5 linked regions of the Cricetulus griseus genome follow. The protein of the gene in region 5 purifies or fractionates together with the protein of the main gene of each other region. This does not show direct contact. Links are inferred from orthologs where the notes say so. Each region holds a gene or a part of one and is shown on either strand. Other genes may lie near its edges.

The links.
Region 1: the proteins of Cxxc1 (region 5) and Bod1 purify together in Homo sapiens (affinity purification with mass spectrometry; 4 studies listed by BioGRID and IntAct, counting the BioPlex papers as one, with this or other methods). This does not show direct contact. The link is inferred for Cricetulus griseus from reciprocal best matches to the Homo sapiens genes CXXC1 and BOD1.
Region 2: the proteins of Cxxc1 (region 5) and Ogt purify together in Homo sapiens (affinity purification with mass spectrometry; 3 studies listed by BioGRID and IntAct, with this or other methods). This does not show direct contact. The link is inferred for Cricetulus griseus from reciprocal best matches to the Homo sapiens genes CXXC1 and OGT.
Region 3: the proteins of Cxxc1 (region 5) and Setd1a purify together in Homo sapiens (affinity purification with western blotting; 16 studies listed by BioGRID and IntAct, counting the BioPlex papers as one, with this or other methods). This does not show direct contact. The link is inferred for Cricetulus griseus from reciprocal best matches to the Homo sapiens genes CXXC1 and SETD1A.
Region 4: the proteins of Cxxc1 (region 5) and Wdr82 purify together in Homo sapiens (affinity purification with western blotting; 7 studies listed by BioGRID and IntAct, with this or other methods). This does not show direct contact. The link is inferred for Cricetulus griseus from reciprocal best matches to the Homo sapiens genes CXXC1 and WDR82.

The regions. Positions count from the first base shown.
Region 1 is NC_048600.1:46,636,187-46,639,397, reverse strand, and holds the end of Bod1 (biorientation of chromosomes in cell division protein 1), read right to left. Parts: intron 2,262-3,211; coding exon 2,066-2,261; 3' UTR 2,065-2,065; intron 1,197-2,064; 3' UTR 509-1,196; downstream 1-508. UniProt on the Homo sapiens protein: Required for proper chromosome biorientation through the detection or correction of syntelic attachments in mitotic spindles.
Region 2 is NC_048604.1:68,636,412-68,639,926, reverse strand, and holds part of Ogt (UDP-N-acetylglucosamine--peptide N-acetylglucosaminyltransferase 110 kDa subunit), read left to right. Parts: coding exon 1-153; intron 154-933; coding exon 934-1,177; intron 1,178-3,515. UniProt on the Homo sapiens protein: Catalyzes the transfer of a single N-acetylglucosamine from UDP-GlcNAc to a serine or threonine residue in cytoplasmic and nuclear proteins resulting in their modification with a beta-linked N-acetylglucosamine (O-GlcNAc).
Region 3 is NC_048596.1:72,972,909-72,976,423, reverse strand, and holds the end of Setd1a (histone-lysine N-methyltransferase SETD1A), read left to right. Parts: coding exon 1-647; intron 648-1,022; coding exon 1,023-1,195; intron 1,196-1,271; coding exon 1,272-1,382; intron 1,383-1,542; coding exon 1,543-1,662; intron 1,663-2,945; coding exon 2,946-3,083; intron 3,084-3,158; coding exon 3,159-3,332; downstream 3,333-3,515. UniProt on the Homo sapiens protein: Histone methyltransferase that catalyzes methyl group transfer from S-adenosyl-L-methionine to the epsilon-amino group of 'Lys-4' of histone H3 (H3K4) via a non-processive mechanism.
Region 4 is NC_048597.1:214,373,372-214,377,387, forward strand, and holds the start of Wdr82 (WD repeat-containing protein 82), read left to right. Parts: upstream 1-1,203; 5' UTR 1,204-1,537; coding exon 1,538-1,698; intron 1,699-4,016. UniProt on the Homo sapiens protein: Regulatory component of the SET1/COMPASS complex implicated in the tethering of this complex to transcriptional start sites of active genes.
Region 5 is NC_048595.1:165,573,416-165,577,494, reverse strand, and holds the start of Cxxc1 (CXXC-type zinc finger protein 1), read left to right. Parts: upstream 1-1,269; 5' UTR 1,270-1,610; coding exon 1,611-1,613; intron 1,614-2,284; coding exon 2,285-2,403; intron 2,404-2,503; coding exon 2,504-2,604; intron 2,605-2,928; coding exon 2,929-3,164; intron 3,165-3,252; coding exon 3,253-3,438; intron 3,439-3,802; coding exon 3,803-3,829; intron 3,830-3,906; coding exon 3,907-4,079. UniProt on the Homo sapiens protein: Transcriptional activator that exhibits a unique DNA binding specificity for CpG unmethylated motifs with a preference for CpGG.

The sequences.
Region 1 (3,211 bases), on a different chromosome or scaffold from region 5:
CAGTGTACTCAACTAAGAACAAGGACTTTTAGTTTGAAGCAATCTTTGCTATACCCAAGGCTCAGAATCATCCAGGAGCTTGTGAGATACAAACTTTTGGGCCAATGAATAAAGGTGTTTGCCACCAAGCCCCATCACCTGAATTCAATCATTGGGACACAGGTGGCAGAAAGAGAACCTTTATCTGCAAGTTGTCTTCTGACCACACATGCAACCTATCCCCTTCTCACCTGACCCCACCCCAGGCCAATAACACCTAGCTCTCCCACCCTGTCCTGAGACACTCAGGGGCACTGGTATTTACTCATCCAAGCTTGAGATGAGTCAGAACATTCAACAAGACACTGCCTGGCCCTGACCAGCTGCATCAGCCAGCCTGAACCAGGGTGCTTCTAAGTTCCAACCAGCAATCCTCCATTCCCACCAATCACAGGTTGTCTGGAGATAGCAGGCAGATAGAGGAAGTAAGTCACCTCCACAGACAGAGGCGCTAAGATTCTGTTGGGGCTTTAGGGAAAGATCATCAAATGACTTTATTGTAAAACATCTGCTATTTATTAACGGTTGTTCTTCTAAAAACAAACATGAGAACTGAGCACCACATCCAGAGTGACTCGCTTGCCCCTGCGGCTAGTGAGACGCTAGGACAGAGACAGTGGGGCTTTCCTTGTCCCCAAGTCTCAACTTAACTCACTCACTCCAGGGCTCCAAGCTACCTCTGACAAGAGAAAGAAAACCACTAAAATCTCCAAGCACAAGGAGGTCACAACAACCTTAGGGCTACTGACGCTAACTGCTGCGCATTCCAGCCTGTAACTCTAGCAACAATATCAGCTGCTCCCATTGCCCTTTGCTGTCCTGACCGGCTTGCTGCAGCCTGGCTTCTGCATACTGCAGAGCACAAGCGCTAACATCCACATGCAGGGTCTGTGTTCAAGTGTAGAGGTTTGTTCAGGATAGCCCAGGTCATGTAGTGCTTAAACCTCTGTAGTGTCTACTGTGGTCAGACCCTCGGACAGGCTGGTCAAAGGTGGCACAATGCATGAGCTTTCCATAGAATGTGTACACCACCCCAGTCAAGGCCAAAATCTTGACATCAGTATAGTGACATGGTCGACTCAAGTTATATTCATATGAATCAGGAATCCATTTCGTTTCTTCATTAAATGGAGTTTTCCAAAGGTATCAGGCATATTCTTAAAAAAAAAAAAGAAAAAGAAAATGTCAAAACGCTACTTTTGATAAGGGCTTATATTCACTAATTATATATTCCTAAAAGAATTAAAGATTTAACATAAATAAATATTTTACACTCCAGGATGAATCAAGAATCTCTCCTGGGCTGCAGAGATGGCTCAGCCGTTAAAGGCTAGGCTCACAACCAAAGTATAAGAATCTCTCCCAAGAGGCACAGCACAACCCGCAATTGCTCAAGTTCAAAGGCCTAGATCACCTGCCTCCCTACCCAATTTATTAGTATCAATATCTCAAAGACTTACTAGCAGCACAAGGGACTAGAACACCCCAGGGGTGTGATGATGGCAGGTGAGGGATCTATTGGTCATACGGTGGCTCCCCAAACCCGGCACAGCATCCACCTCTATATCTCCAGCTATTTTTAAAGTTTAGATAAAATCCTAAACCTGGGACAAAGAGAACAGAGAGCTGCATGGCTCTCCACAGGGGCAACTTGGAAACGCAGAGCCCATGCAAAGTTCTCACTTGAGACAGCATTTGGGATTGCTGCTTGATTTCATATAAAAAAAATCACAAATGTCAGCCAGGGGAGAGCCACAGGTAAGCAATCTCAGAGATGACCTCCACAAATCCCCTGTGTAAACCAGTTGCCACAGTGGTTCCTGATGAGGTTTCCTGTGATGACTTGGATGCTCGGCTCCACTGGTGCAGAGCACAGTTGCCAATATGGGAGCAGCTAGAGCTGAATTCACTGAGGATGGCTCCCTGGGGTGAACTCCACTCCCACGTGTAAAACATGATGTCTAATCACAGCTTACCCCGTTTCTAACCATCAACTAGCCAGAGAGGAAAGATGGGGTACTAAACCTTAAGAAGTGTCTTGGGATGGCGCTGGAGGATCCTGGCTTTCAGGTTCTGGAGGGGGAGCTGGCATAGCTTCTTTTTTCTGGGCTGCCAGGAACTCGTGGATTGCTCGCTCTATCTGTGGCCTGAAGATGTGATTTAGTTTGGGGTCCACCACCTGAGAAATGATCCTGTCTACTCCTGCTTCCAACATGCCTGACCTGTGGAGATAAGACAAACTACTGTTATTTAGTTCTCAAGAGTTCCCCATTGCATAAATAAGCCCCAAGGGCCATTCAAGAGCCCAGCAAATATCCATTTTCCCCATTTAGGCCACTGGCCTTTCATTTGAGCAGTTCACAGCCACCTGCTACCCACCATTCCTAATGCAGTTTCAACTCTTTAGAAAGGAAACAAAGTTATGCAGACTGCACCAAAGGCCAACAACACATGTGACAAATGGCAAGAGCCTGGCCACAGGTGTAGGGTGAAACTGCAGTCACAGTGACAAAGGCAGCAAGTCTTGTTATGCCTTAGTTTTCCTCAGCATTTATTCTTAGCAGCCAGAACAGAAGTGGCTTCCAACAGCAACTCGGTTACTACATCCAATACAAACCAGATGAGATGTTTGTGATGACTGGTGAGACACATAAAGACTGGGCATGCAATGTGTAGTTGCTCAATAAAGGACAGCTACTGGCCCCTTCTTTCTGAGACCTCTACACTAACAGAGCTCACCTTGAGAAAGGGAGCAGTACTGTGCAGCTTGAGAGAGACAATGTGGGCAGCTTTAGATGCCACACTCACCTAGGGCAAACAGAGCTTTACGTGGGTGTTAATATTCTTCATTTACAAAAGATTTCAGTGGTCATAAGCCACAGCGAGTGCTATCGCACTAGCCAGCAAAATCCTTTTCTATTTTTAATCTCAATCTCTCCCCCCTCCCCCAGGAACTCACTACATAACCAAGGCTACTTGATTCTCCTAATCTTCCTGCCTCAGCCTCCTGAGGGCTGGGATGACAGGAGTGTAACAGGTATCCCATTTGACTGAACTCAACAACTGAATCTTAAACAACTTATTCAGTGCCACAAAGGTGAAGGCCACATAATCTCAACACCTTCTACCAGCTCCTGCCACGTCAACTCACAGGGGATCAACTTCTACCATA
Region 2 (3,515 bases), on a different chromosome or scaffold from region 5:
AGGGTTAGCTGAGTTGGCACATCGAGAATATCAGGCAGGAGATTTTGAGGCAGCTGAGAGACACTGCATGCAGCTCTGGAGACAAGAGCCTGACAATACTGGTGTCCTTTTATTACTTTCATCTATACATTTCCAGTGTCGAAGGCTGGACAGGTAGGAGATGTTGGGGTAACCTGCCTCTGGGTGCTGAGCTTAAAAAATGATAAATATTTGAACTTAAGCATTTCCAGTGCTTGGTTTCATCTGAGCCACCAACACACAGGCGCTCTTTTGCTCACTTTTGACATGCCTAGCTGCTAGTTTTTCTCCCCCGTTTTTTTTTGGGGGGGGAAGCATATTATCAGTATGATGAGGTTTTCCCCCTAGATTTTATCACTTGGGGCTGCTGCTTTATTAATTCTTTCCAGATAGTTATTCTTAGTGTACATTTGAACATCCAGACCTGTTAGCTTCAGAGCGTCTGGTAGGAGGGGCATATGTAGTTCAAGTTGGAAATACCCTCATTAAATTGTTGCTTTTAGCTAATCACTTGAATTAATCAAAAGAGAAGAATTTGTGCTTTGGATCTTTTAGTAAATTATCATTTTGGCATGCTTAGACATTGAAGATGCATTGTCATTAAATCTTAAATGAAAAATGAGATTCAAGCACATAGCATTTTTATTCTTGATCTTAATGATCATGTTATACGATGTGGCAGTTTGGTAATGGATTCTAATAAAAATTTTCTTACATAAGACCCAGCTTTCCTATATGAAATCTGGATATTCTCATCTTAGAAAAGTTTTAAGTTTTCAAACTTCTGGTGTGTGCTGGTTAAAGGATAATGTTCCATAGCACAGGGTTTTCAGGAACTTTCACAGTTGCATATGAGCTATGCCTCTTTTTTTTCTAACACATATATCCATTCATCAACACTTTCCACTTTTCCAGATCTGCTCACTTTAGCACCTTGGCAATTAAACAGAATCCCCTTCTAGCAGAAGCCTATTCGAATTTGGGGAATGTGTACAAGGAAAGAGGGCAGTTGCAGGAAGCGATTGAGCATTATCGACATGCCTTGCGGCTCAAGCCTGATTTCATTGATGGTTATATTAACCTGGCAGCAGCTTTGGTAGCAGCAGGTGACATGGAAGGAGCAGTACAAGCTTACGTCTCTGCTCTTCAGTACAATCCTGTAAGTAAAAGTTTATCAGTTGTTTTCACTTCACAGCAATCCAGAAAACCAACATTTGATACTTGACAGTAGGTTTTTTTTTTTTCATGAAAGTCGGGTTGATATGTTTAATATGTTTATGTACTTGAAATGATGAAATTGATTTGACTTGGTCTGCATGACATTAAAAAAGATCCACCCTAATATTTAAAAAGTTAAATAGCAAGTTGCCTTTAATCCCAGCAGAGGCAGGCACATCTCTGTGAGTTCAAGGGCAGCCTGATTTACAGAATGAATTTCAGAACAGCCAGGACTGTTACACAGAGAAATCCTGTCTTGAAAAACCATAAAAATTATCCTCAACAAAATTCTTTTGGTAATCCTAATAAATCACAAGACACGCGTTTTTTGTGCTATTTTAGTGAACTTTGGTTAAAATCTGATGGGTATTTACAAAGAATGATGGGTAAAATGTGTTATAAAACATGAGGGGGACCTTGGCAGATTCGATGGCAGGCAAGGGTGATCGAGTCAGGGACCAACATGCCAGGCAGACAGAATTTAAGTGAGAAATTTTATTAGAAAGGGAAAGTGGAGATGGGACAAGGAAAGAGAAAAGAGGTAGAGACACAGAGAGAGGGGACAGATGAAAAGAGGGGGGGCAGGAAAAGTCCGGTCTGCCCCAGGGAACATGGGGAAAGAGCATAAGTGGGCAGGGGTTCTAAGTTGCATGTGTTTTCAGGGAGCAAGTGTACCCGGGTTGACAGACAAAGCTCACACTGTATTTAGAGTCTGGGAAAGATCAAAATATAGAGTGTGAAACAAAAAAAAAATTAAATAAAATGCAGGGATGTAAAACTTGCCCTGGAAACTGCTGATGTAATTAAGGGAAAGTGTCTGTAAACTTTTAAGAGATAAATGTTGGGGGGGTGGGTCTTGGCAGCATCAGCATATACTTGAGCTATATCAACATTGACTTTGCAACCACCCTGGAAGTAAGTGCTTAATGATTAACTGGGGTGGCTGCCATTATCAGAAGTCTTCTACAAGTTCAGACACTGCTGCTTCAGATACAAGTCTTTCTGAATCTTTACCATGATCCTTTGAGGAGGAGGGCATTATTTCCAGTTTTACCAATAATAAAAACCCACCAGACTCGGGGTTATATAACTTTTCTTGAGATCATGTAGCTAGCAGTGGTGAAGTGGAGGTTGAAAGTTGAAGTTGAATTATCAAAGCAAATGTTGACATGAACAAGAAATGAAAGTTTAAAAAGGCCTTCTGTGCCCAAAGGCAGTCCTTGTGCACAGCCTGGAAACCATTCTGCATATCTGCCTGGCTCTTGACTCCAGCCTTACAATTTAGCAAACTGAAGCTTATTTTAGTAGTTTGCCAAAGATTTGTAATCATTTTTTATCTTAATGTCTTTTAAATAATTAATTTAAAAGTTAATTTTGAAAATTTAAAAATTTCTATTGCTTTTATTTATTTATTTTTTAATTTATTTTTTATTTTACTTTATTAAAAAAATTTTTTTTGCTTTTATTTTTTAAAAATAAAAAAAAATCGATGTATGGAATGGCTGTTTTAACTGTTCATTTAGATGTATAGAGTTTGGGTCTGGGCCAGTTGTTCATTAGAATGACTATCTTAGTTTAGCTACATGTTGTTTTTGTTGTTCATTAGAATGACTACCTTAGTTTAGCTACATGTTGTTTTTGTTGTTCATTAGAATGACTACCTTAGTTTAGCTACATGTTGTTTTTGTTTTCCTTTTTTTTTTTTTTTTTTTCTTTTTTGGTTTTTCGAGACAGGGTTTCTCTGTATTGTTTTGGAGCCTTTCTTGGAACTTGCTCTGTAGACCAGGCTAGTCTTAAACTCATAGAGATCCTCTTGCCTCTGCTTCCTGAGTGCTGGGATTAAAGGCGTTCACCACCAATGCCCGACTGCTACATGTTGTCTTTGTTTGTGAGTTCATTACAATAAATGATTTTATTCACTTTGTTTTTAATCTAGTGAGAAATTGCATAGGCTTGCAGATAATGAAAGTAATTTTTAACATATTTTTTCAGGGGTACTCAGTGTATATTTGAAGTTAGAGTGCATTTGTAATTTTTATTGCAGTCCTATGTAGTTACTAAATAGTTTTTGGCAGCTAACCTTGAATGGGCTGTCTGTAGGGCTTGGACTGGATTCTTCCTAAGGCCCAGGATAGGGCATTGTTTTCCTTCAGTAATCAGGGCTAGGTTTATCCTTTACTTGTTGACTGTGTAAACTCAGCTTGGCTCTCTTGCATAGTTTGTAATCTTGGTTAACTTTACTCTGTTAATTTATTTTGACATTGGACCTTGTGTAGCCT
Region 3 (3,515 bases), on a different chromosome or scaffold from region 5:
CCTAGCCCTGACTCCAGCCCGACGGGGGTTGGCTACCCTACCCACTGGAGACGACTCAGAGGCCACCGAGACCTCAGATGAGGCTGAGCGCCCAAGCCCTCTACTCAGCCACATCCTCTTGGAACACAATTATGCCCTGGCCATTAAGCCCCCACCTGCCACACCAGCACCTCGGCCCCTAGAGCCAGCTCCTGCCCTTGCTGCACTCTTCAGCTCCCCAGCTGATGAAGTCTTGGAGGCCCCTGAGGTGGTGGTGGCTGAAGCAGAGGAGCCAAAGCAACAGCTGCAGCAGCAGCAGCAGCATCCGGAGCAGAAGAGGGAGGAGGAGGAGGAGGAGGAGGAGGAAGAAGAGGGGTCTTCAGAAAGCAGCAGCAGCAGCAGCAGCAGTGATGAGGAAGGGGCTATCAGGAGGCGCAGCCTCCGCTCCCACACTCGACGAAGACGGCCACCACTCCCACCCCCACCCCCACCACCTCCTTCTTTTGAGCCAAGGAGTGAATTTGAGCAGATGACCATCCTATATGACATTTGGAACTCAGGCCTGGACTTGGAAGACATGAGCTATTTGCGGCTCACGTATGAGCGGCTATTGCAGCAGACCAGTGGGGCTGACTGGCTTAATGATACTCACTGGGTCCATCACACAAATATCCTGAGCCACAGAGCTTGCTTGTACCCTAGAGCAAGACACAGGGCTGGGATGGGGTCAGCATTCCCTGGGGTCATATGGCCAGAAATGTCATCCTCAGGTCAGTCCTACAGCTGCAGTGATCTCCTGTCTGTCTAATTTACTGTGCCTTGATTAGCTTTGGGGTTCTCTAGTTGCCAGCTGTCTTTTCCCTCTGCCTTGTGTCTCCTCTGACTGAACAGGTAAGATCTAGACTTGCCTTCTCCTGTCTGTCTCCTGAGTATTCTCACTATCAGACCAGCTACCCTGTAGGCTGGGTCTGGGGTGCACAGGAGGTGTGAGCCCTAAGGGACTGGCCAGTAGGGAACCTGTTCTCTTCCTTAACACCCTGCACTCACCAACCTAAGCACTCCAAAGCGTAAGCGACGGCCCCAAGATGGGCCCCGGGAGCATCAGACAGGCTCTGCACGCAGTGAAGGTTACTACCCCATCAGCAAGAAGGAGAAGGACAAGTACCTGGATGTGTGCCCTGTCTCAGCCCGACAGCTGGAAGGCGTGGACACTCAGGTAGAGTCCTGCCCCAAGCCCTAGCTTGCTGCCTCCTTCCTGTCCTTTAAGCACTCATCACCTGTCTTGCTCACAGGGGACTAATCGGGTACTTTCTGAGCGACGATCAGAGCAGCGGCGGTTACTGAGCGCCATTGGCACCTCAGCCATCATGGATAGTGATCTGCTAAAGCTAAACCAGCTCAAGGTCAGGAGGGGAAACTGGAGGAGGGAGGAGACCCAGTGGAAAAAAAACCACAGCAAGGAGATTGCCCCTGGCGGGATCCTGTGGGACGGGAAGGCGGAAGGAAAGGGAAGGTGCAGGTTTGTGAGAACATCAGCAGTTAAAGCTACCTTTTGTCCCCTAGTTCCGGAAGAAGAAACTCCGATTTGGCCGGAGCCGAATCCATGAGTGGGGTCTGTTTGCCATGGAACCCATCGCAGCTGATGAGATGGTGATAGAATATGTTGGCCAGAACATCCGCCAGGTAAGGTTCCACTCCAGCACCAGCCCAGTCGCTGACTACAGCAGCATGGGATTTCACCATCTAATCTTTTGTACAAAATCTCACTCATTACTGCCGCTGCCGCTGCCCAGCTTTGATGTTAGTGGTCCAGCCAGGAACACTGGACAATAATGATAGTAAAGAGTGGTGTTGATACTAAAGGGTTGTAGGTGTTGTGGGGACCCAGAACCTCCCAAAGACCTGCAAGCTAAAGGGTAATGAACTCCTGGGGCATCAGGATATATATGCTCCAGTTCTGAAGACAGAATTTGCAAAGGCTCAGAAGCTGTCCTCTTCGGAGGATGAGGCCAATGCATCTGTTCAGAGCCAGTGACAGGGATGTGAACCTGGACATGCAAGTGGAGCCAACTCCTCAGAGCTGGAACCCTGTCAGTCAAGTGTAGCCTTGTGGGTGGATGGGGAATGTTCTGGAAGTTGTGCAAACAAGGACTTGAGAAGCTAATAAGCTCCCTCTGGCTGTGTAGAAAAGAGCTTGTGTGGACTGGCCTCAGTGGTGCTTAATGGCAGGTCAGAGCCAAAGTATGGATGAGGTAGTGGCAACAGGGGTGACAGGACTCTAGCCTGTGGGTCCAAAGTGGTTGACAGAACCAGGTAGTTGGCTGTAGAGGATGAAAATAAGGTGTCAAGGCCTTCCTCGGGGCATCCCCAGTAGCTTTGAGGAATGTGGTTGGGAGCAGCAGAAGGAACACAAATGCAGTCAAGGTTTGTCTCAGTGCAGATGTGAGCTTGGGGTCCTAGGGTTGTAGGGGTGGCATCCCACAGTCCTACTGAGGTGGGCTTGGCTGGAGGTGGAAGCCTGGGAGGAGTCCTCACTTAGAGCTGGTGGTTAGAATTCTGCAAAGGGGTAAGGTCACTCAGTGAGAGTGGCAAATGCATTGCCTATTTCTTGGGAATAGTTGCCCCTTGCTGAAAGGCCTTTGTCCTGGCACAGACCATCTGCCATCTGCTCTCACCAGCTGCCCAGTAGGTGTCTGGGAAGGATAGTCCTAGGAAAGGATTCAGTTGAAGGCATGGCCACTGTCACATCAGAAGCCGCTGCAGGCCCACAGTATACTGTGAGCTCCACTGTGGCCACACAGGTTCTCAGCAGAGAGTCCTTGTGTGACTGACTTTGGATCAGATTGGGTGGAAGCAGGTAGACCCAGGGCATATCCAGTCAGCATGGCCCAGGAGCTGTTGGCTTGGTCAGCTAGCTCGTGCAGTGGCTGAAGTCCATGCATGTGTTCATCTCATCCTCCTCCCAGATGGTAGCTGACATGCGGGAGAAGCGCTACGTTCAGGAGGGCATTGGCAGCAGCTACCTTTTCCGGGTGGACCACGATACCATCATTGATGCCACAAAGTGCGGCAACCTGGCCAGGTTCATCAACCACTGCTGCACGGTGCGCTCAGGGCTGGGCCAGGGCTGGGCGGGGCAGGGGTGAGGGGGGCTGCGGCTTACACTGCCCCTCCTGCAGCCCAACTGCTACGCTAAGGTGATCACCATCGAGTCTCAGAAGAAGATTGTGATCTACTCCAAGCAGCCCATTGGCGTGGATGAGGAGATCACCTACGACTACAAGTTCCCACTCGAGGACAACAAGATCCCGTGTCTGTGTGGCACTGAAAGCTGCCGTGGCTCCCTCAACTGAGGTGGGGCAGGACTGGTGCCCTCACCCCTATTTATTCCCCCTTGGTGCCCTAAGCTCCCAGCACCCCCAGCCTTAGTGGGCTCAGCAGGGCCCACATGTCCCCATCTCCACATGTGGGATAGGGGCCCTGAGCCCAGCAAGGGAGCCTCAGTCCTTTGAGGTAACTTTTGACTCCCCTGTACC
Region 4 (4,016 bases), on a different chromosome or scaffold from region 5:
GAATTCACAGAGATCCGCATGTCTCTGCCTCCGGAGTTCTGGGACTAAAGGATTGCGCCACCACCACCCGCCACACACACATTTTTAAAGAGGCCTAAAATAGTTCATGATCATTTGGCTTTTGGCTGCATTTTATCTCATAATTCCGAAGTTCTAGTCAGCCAGTCCACAGGATCTTTACTACGTATGTGCTACAGAGGAGGCCAGTTCACACAGCAGGTCGGAACAGGACACCAGATCTGTCCTCACCATCTCAAGCTTTCATGGCAGACTGCATCGTCCTTTTTAGGCTCAGAAACAATCACTGGGAATTGACTGGATTTGCAGTTTGGAAAGTTGCCATCCATTCAGGTTGCATTCAAACCGGTTTTTCCTACTCCTCAAACCTCAGAACAAATTGTAGCCAGGTGCTCTGCTTTGTCAGGTGGCCACTGCAGTCCGGACTTAGCCTTGTCTTCCCCCCTCCCCGCCCCCAGCCAACAATTTCTCTACGTAGATACCCCGATTTTTTACAGGAGGACGTGGAATTCAACCCCTAGTTATTTCCAAGAAGACTCCAACTTTTCTAGTGTTTCCATTTCGTTTGTTTTGTTAACCATTGTCATGATATGTGGGATTCTGGTCACACCTTCCTCTTAGCTGCCAGTGAGTGAAATGTCTCACAGTGAGTGCTTTCCTAGGGTTTCCCCCTCCTCCCGCATTCAAGTTAGCTATCTTCATGCGCTTTGACACTCTCGAAAAAGTTCTTAAAGAAAGCTCTGACATCCTGAGCAGTGATCATGGTATATACCCAATTGAAAGAGGCACACACTTAACATTTTATATGTTGTCCTTCATTAAATTAACACATGGAGGCCTCCTGGGTTGGTGGTGTGGTGGTCAAGCCCCGCAGCGACCGGTTCACCTGAGTCACACCCACGAGCAGGTCATGAGGGGTGACCTCCGCCAGTACCTGCGGCCTCAGGGGCACCTGAGTCTCCCTGGGGAACGGCTCACAAAGGCACTAGTCCCGAGGCGACCTCAACTTTCCCGCCCTCAGGAAGCCTCTGGACGCTCCACGCCCGCAGGCCTCCCCTCTCCACACCAGCGACCGGCGACTTCCCGGTCCACCGACTTGGGAGCCCGCCCCGCTGACGTCATCTCCCCGCCCCCGCAGCGCGCGCCTCAGTTCCCGCCCCGCCCCTTTTCCCGGCGTCCGCCGCGGCAGAGGCTCCTCGCCCTCTGATTTTGCTTCTCCTTACAAGATGGCCGACACAATGAGCCGGCGCATCGCCGGTTGGCCCTGAAGCGACTCTGGGGAAGAACGGTCAGTGAGGTTCCCGTCATCCCGCCGAGAGGGCCTTGCCCGAGGAGGTCGGCGCGGCGACCCGACTGTCAGACGCCGCCCCGGTAGCCGCCAGCGCGGCGCCCGCACGGCTGGGGTTGGCCCTGAGCAGCCCGCCCGCCCGCTCGCTCGCCCGCTCGCCCGCCCGCCTCTCGGCCCCGCCCCGGCCCTGCGCCGCCGCGGCTGCCTTCAGCCGCCGCCGCCGCCGCCGCCATGAAGCTGACCGACAGCGTGCTGAGGAGCTTCCGCGTCGCCAAGGTGTTCCGCGAGAACTCGGACAAGATCAACTGCTTCGACTTCAGCCCCAACGGGGAGACGGTCATCTCCAGCAGCGACGACGACTCCATCGTGCTCTACGACTGCCAGGAGGGCAAGTGAGTGTGGCGGTGGCCGCGGGCCGGGTTCCAAGCGCCTCCCTCCCCTTCCTTGTGTCGCCCGTCCCCGGCTGAGCCCCCACCCCCCACCCCCAGCCTGTGGTGTGCACCCCGCCTCCATCCTGCAGTGGTGCAGCCCCCTCCTGTCTCTGTAAAGCCAGGGTGGTCCTAGTCAGCGCTAGCGTTGCTGTGCCGGGCGTGCGTCTTTGGTCTCTCCCGAGCGCGCCCGCTCTCCAGACCCCACCTTGACCTTGACCTTTAAACGCCGCGTCCCTGCCCCCGGCGGCCAGGCGGGTGGCCCTTCCCGCTCCCCTGCCTGTCAGAGGCTGCGGGTCCCCCGGCTCTGAGCTCGGCGCAGAAGCGGAGGAGCTGTGGTGCCCGTCCGTCAGCGGCGTCGGCTCTCTGCCCTCACCGCGGTGACCTGGATTCAGCCCTGGCACCGCGCCCGTCCCCCCTGCCCCTCGGCTTCCAGCGCGGCCTTTCTGCCACCCAGCCCCGCGAGAGGCAGTTTTCAGCTGTCAGGATTTATCGGTTGCGCCTGTGCGTGAGCCTGCTGCCTTTTTCCCTGTGCCGATACCCACGCTTACAGTTAACTTGTTAAACAGCCTCTCGGAAACTTTTCAGTGCCAGGCTCGGGCGAACTTGGCCGCCCCATTCTGGTCAGAATGTGAGCTCCCTTTAAGACAAAGAAAGCGTTCTGGAACAATTTAGTGTTTCCTTTTGCATTACAAAAAAAAAAAAAAAGTTTACTCGAGTGCGGCGGCCCAGCCGCCAATCTCAGCATTTAGGCCACAGAGGCAGGCAGATTCCGAGTTCTGGACTTCATAGGCCAAGACTCAAAAGGGTTTTAAAAAAAAAAAAAAAAAAACCGCCAGTGTGTAGTTTGCTTGGAATTAACAAAACTCTGGATCTGGTTATGGGAGTTATGTGTTGGTTGGATAACCGCTATGGTTGTGTGCCTTTGCTGAGCAGATCACTTTGCCTTTTTCATAGCCTGAGGTGGGAGAGACGTTGTCTGCCTGGCCTCACCCTCTAGGTCCAAGTCCTTTGCAACAGAAACTAGTGTAGGCTAAATTTGATTTCCCTTGTCAACTTCAGCTGCCTTTCCTAAGCAGGAGATGTTTGGTTTAGTTTAATAGCTACTGTTTTTGACATTTTGTTAAAGTTACCTATGTTTTTGAAGCCTTAACTTTTTCTCTACTTACTCCATCTGTTCCTTTTGTTTCATTTTTCAAATAACAGACAGTTTTCTTTTGGAACTTGTCCCTCTGCATTTATCTAAAGTAAGGCTGTGTTGTAGACTAAGCTGCATATGTTTTTCTTGACTGTTTTCCTCACTGGGACTATAATAAAGTATTATGTAACTGTCTCTGGACCTGCCTGCTGTGTGTGGAAGAGTTCCCTACAGTGGTGATCCTGGGGAAAGAGAATCACAGATAGTTGTTTGAATTGATGTTCGTTTTAGTGTGTTGGTTTTTATCCTGCTCTGACCATTTGAGTTTGTTTGGAAGAGCTGGTAGGATTTAAAGTTGGGAACTGGAAGTAATTTGAAGTTGGTTTGCTTGAAATATTTAGTGTAGTACATATATGAGAATCTTCCCCCCAAAAGTTGAAGTGGAAATGCATATCCCTTATTCAAAGAAATAAAATGCTAAGACTAATTTATGTATAAAACCTTTTTACATGATTACAGACTTCATAGAACGTTACCAGTGTTCCAAAGAAATTTCTTGAAGAAAAAAAAAAAAGGCGCTTTCTTGCTCCGCAGTGCCTGTAATTCCAGCACTGGGGTAGGAGACTGGAGGTGGGAATGTTGGGATGCAGCTTGAACTACATAGTAAGATCCTGTCTCAAAAAAGAAAATATAAGAGCTGGAGAGATGGTTAAGAGTATACTTGGTGCTCTTACAGAGGATCTGGGGTCAGTTCCCAGCACCAGCATGGAGGTTCACAACCATCTGTAACTCCAGGGGGTCTGACTCCTACTTCTGACTTCCCTGATACCAGGAACATGTAGACATACACACAGGCAAACACCTATACACATAAAAATAAAGTAAATAAATATTTTTTAAAAGTTGTTTTAAGAAGAAAATATGTTTTAAAAAAGGTTTCTAGGAACTGGAGAGATGGCCCAGGGTTAAGAGCATATGCTAATCTTGCAGTTCAGTGCCAGAACCGACCGGAGGCCCACAACTACATTTAACTCCAGATCTGATGCTCTCTTCTGGCCTCCATGGGCAATAGCCATGTAAAGGGTGCATATTATGTAGATGCAGGCAAAACACTCATATACATAAAATAAAATCAGCAAATCTA
Region 5 (4,079 bases):
GTGTGTGTGTGTGTGTGTGTAGTGAGAAAAAAAAAACAGCTCTGGCAGTCAGTATGAGTTTTAGAAATCAAACTCAGGTTGACAGGCTGAGCCATTTCACTGGCTCTAATAATTCTTTTAATTATTTGTTGCTTTACTAGGGCACTTTTTGCAATACTAGGACAATACTGTACACTTTTACTTGAGGATTACTAATATATTACTATACCTGGCAACCAGTTTTCACTTCTAGAGCTATATAATTAAAATTTTAATAGTACTGGCTTCTTAAGGAGTATACACCTATTTCTTTTCCTTACTTTTCTGTTTTCTTTCATTGTTTCTTCTCCATTTCCCTTCCTTCCATGTCTTTCTTTCTTTCTCTCTCTTTTTTTCCTTTGGTTTTTCGAGACAGGGTTTCTCTGTAGTTTTGGAGCCTGTCCTGGAACTCACTCTGTAGACCAGGCTGGCCTTGAACGGAGATCCACCTGCTTCTGCCTCCCAAGTGCTGGGATAAAGGCGTGCGCCACCAACGCCCGGCTGCATGTCTTTCTTATTTTCTTCTTGAGACAAAGTCTCAAAATTACCCAAGTTGGCCTTGAACTCACATTGTAGTCCAGGTAGGATGTGAATTTGCATTTCCTAACCTCATCCATCCTCCCACTTCTGCTGGGATTACCAGCGTGTGCCACTACGAAGTTTTAAAACATATATATATATATATATATATATATATATATATATATATATATATATGCACTATTTTAATTCTAGCACTTGAAAGGCAAAGGCAGATGGTTAGCTTGAGTTCAAGGCGAGCCTGGTCTACACAGCGAGTTAAGGACCGTCAGGGCTAGAGGGACCCTGTCTCAAAAATAAAATAAAATAAAATAAAATAAAACAAACAAAAGGAAAATGAAGCCAGATCTGGCTGAAAAACAGGAGGGACGAGGCGCGTAAAAAGTGGGTAAACAACTGGGCAGTTACAACACGATATTTATTTCTTTTGCGGAGCCTTGGCATCCCATTTATAAACGTGGAAGGGTAAAATGACTGGATGGAGGAATGAATGAGACATGATTTAGGCAGTAACAGGATTATCCTGCCCGTGGCAGCAGCACTCAGTGTACAGTCAACTATGGTGATGGCCACGCCCTTTGACAGCCGTGAACCGGAAGCTGCCATTCGTTGCCTAGAAACGTACGGAGTCTGCCCCATGAGGCGTAAACAGCTGATGACGTCTGCGTCGCAGTTGCGAAGCAAGCGCGGCCATATTGCCCTCTGGCGGCCACCGTACGGACTTTGACTGATAAGGTGGCGGCGCGCTCCGAGGACCTGCAGATAGGCGCGGCCATATCTCCCGGAACGTACGGTGTTCGCTACCTTACGGATTCCATGGTTAAGATGGCGGCGCCTGGGCGACATTCGCGGCTGTAGTTGGGCGACCTATTTGTCTGCTGCTGAGCGGTCGTTCTGGGCGAGAAGACTCAGAGTGCGGTGCCGTGGAGGCGGGACCAGGAGCGGAAGTGGTTGTGGGCGCTTTTGCCACCGCCGCGGACGCTGCCTAGGGGCTCGTTCAGGTTCGCTGGGTGCTGCCGGGGGTCCAGAGCGGGTGCGCTGTGAGAGGAGATATGGTGAGTATCCGGTTGGATCGCGGTTCCGAGGCAGAGGTCGGTGGGGTTGGCAACTGCTGCCTGTTGGCAAGGCGCACGGGGCTTCTGGTGAGGTGGATGCCGAGTCTGGGGGCCGATGGGAAAAGGTGTGTGATGGGGTTTGAAGTGAACCATCTGTGAGTTCTTTGATGAACCGTTGTAGGGGGTCCATAGTGGGACTTAAGTAGAGACTGCAGGTGGCAGTTTTGTGGGAAGCCTTCACGTGAGGATCCTTGGTCAGAGAGATAAGGTCTTGGCCATGAGTATTTACAGGGGCTCTGAAAAACCGTCATTGGGGTTGGGGGTCTGTGAGCTAAGTTATAGAGACTTGTGGGAAGCCGGGATGGGACGACAGCCCAACAAATTAAGAGATATCCGGGTAGAACTCTTGAAGGCGGCAATGTGGTAAGTGTTTGTGATGAGCAGTTAAGAGTGACAGGATGCTTGTCAGTGATGTGTGTGATGGGAGAGCAGTATAAGCAAAGTAATGAGGCCCAGGGTTGAGTGATGAGGGTCTGGGCGATCTGTGAGGGAGAGGCTGATGGGAATCTATGAGAGGGAGGAAGTCCAAAGACACAGTAGGAACTTGTGTTGAGCCGTGGTCGAGCTGTAAGCGGGAATTAAGGAGTCATCATTGGGGGTGGGTCTCACAGGATGGAGACGGTTCAGACTTGGAGCCTCCAGATGCTGGAGAGGACAGCAAGTCTGAGAATGGGGAGAATGCTCCCATCTACTGCATCTGCCGAAAACCAGACATCAACTGCTTCATGATGTGAGCTGGGGAGAGGTGGGTGGGCTGATGCCTGGCGGGGTTGGGGAGCACCGATGAAGCCCACCCCTCACGTCTCTACCACTTGCTCCATTATATGCAGTGGATGTGACAACTGCAATGAGTGGTTCCATGGGGACTGCATCAGGATCACTGAGAAGATGGCCAAAGCCATCCGGGAATGGTACTGTCGGGATTGCCGAGGTGAGGCCCAGTGGGGAAGGCAGGTGGGCTCCAAGAGATGAAGAGGAACCGTAATGGGAGGGCTCATGGGTAATCGAGGTGTCCTCTGTGGACAGAGTGATTGTCGGTCCTTGGGGTATTGGAATACCAACTCCATTGTGAGCAATAATGGAGGATCCTAAAGGGAGAGGGCAGCTCTCGCCTATAACATGAGCCAGAGAAGTAGTTGGGGTGGGAACAGAGAAAGAGGTTTTGGGATCATTCATATCCCCCCCCCACCCGCCACACACACACACACACACACACACACACAAACCCACTTTGGTCTTACTCTTTGCCTCATAGAGAAGGACCCGAAGCTGGAGATTCGTTACCGACACAAAAAATCCCGGGAACGGGATGGCAGTGAGCGGGACGGCAGTGAGCCCCGGGATGAGGGAGGAGGGCGCAAGAGGCCTGCTTCAGATCCAGACCTGCAGCGCCGGGCAGGGTCAGGGACAGGGGTTGGGACCATGCTTGCTCGGGGCTCAGCTTCGCCCCACAAATCTTCTCCACAGCCCTTAGTGGCTACACCTAGCCAGGTGAGTGACTGCGGTGGTTGGGGTGGGTAAAATTCTGCTCTGGGCCCCATTTGGGTTCCTGATGTCTATCCTGCGCATTGACTCCTAGCATCACCAGCAGCAGCAGCAACAGCAACAAATCAAACGGTCAGCCCGAATGTGTGGTGAGTGTGAGGCATGCCGGCGCACTGAGGACTGTGGCCACTGTGATTTCTGCCGTGACATGAAGAAGTTCGGGGGGCCCAACAAGATCCGGCAGAAGTGCCGGCTTCGCCAGTGTCAGCTGCGGGCACGGGTAAGCATGGACAGAGCTGGGTAGGTTCAGGTGGGAGAGCATGGCTGGGAGGCCCAAGTAGGGCTGCTTGAGCTACAAATGAGAAAGTGTGGGTGGGGTGGGGTGGGGCCTCATTATGTCCAGATGAGTGGGAGGGGGCCTAGCATGTTCAGGTGAATGCCACATGACATAACTAGCTGGCAGGGGCATATATTTTTAGGTGGTCAGGCATGCCAGGGCACAACAGGTAGGACTGAGCGTATGTCTGAGGTGAGGGGAGGGCTAAAACATTTTGTGTAGACCAGGCAAGGATGAGTAGTTGGGGATAGGACAGGGTGACCCATCATTTTCCTGGGGCTGACCTAGGCCTTCCTCCTGCGCACAGGAATCGTACAAGTACTTCCCTTCCTCGGTGAGTCCAGCCCCCCAGGGCGGGGCAGGGCATGCGGGCAGGGCGGTCAGGGCCAGTCCTGAGATTCTGCCCCGCAGCTCTCGCCGGTGACGCCCTCAGAGGCCCTGCCAAGGCCCCGCCGGCCACCACCCACTCAACAGCAGCCACAGCCATCCCAGAAGCTGGGGCGTATCCGTGAAGATGAGGGGACAGTGTTGTCATCTGTGGGTAAGGAGCTGCCAGAGGCTACAGCAACACCCGAGCCACTCTC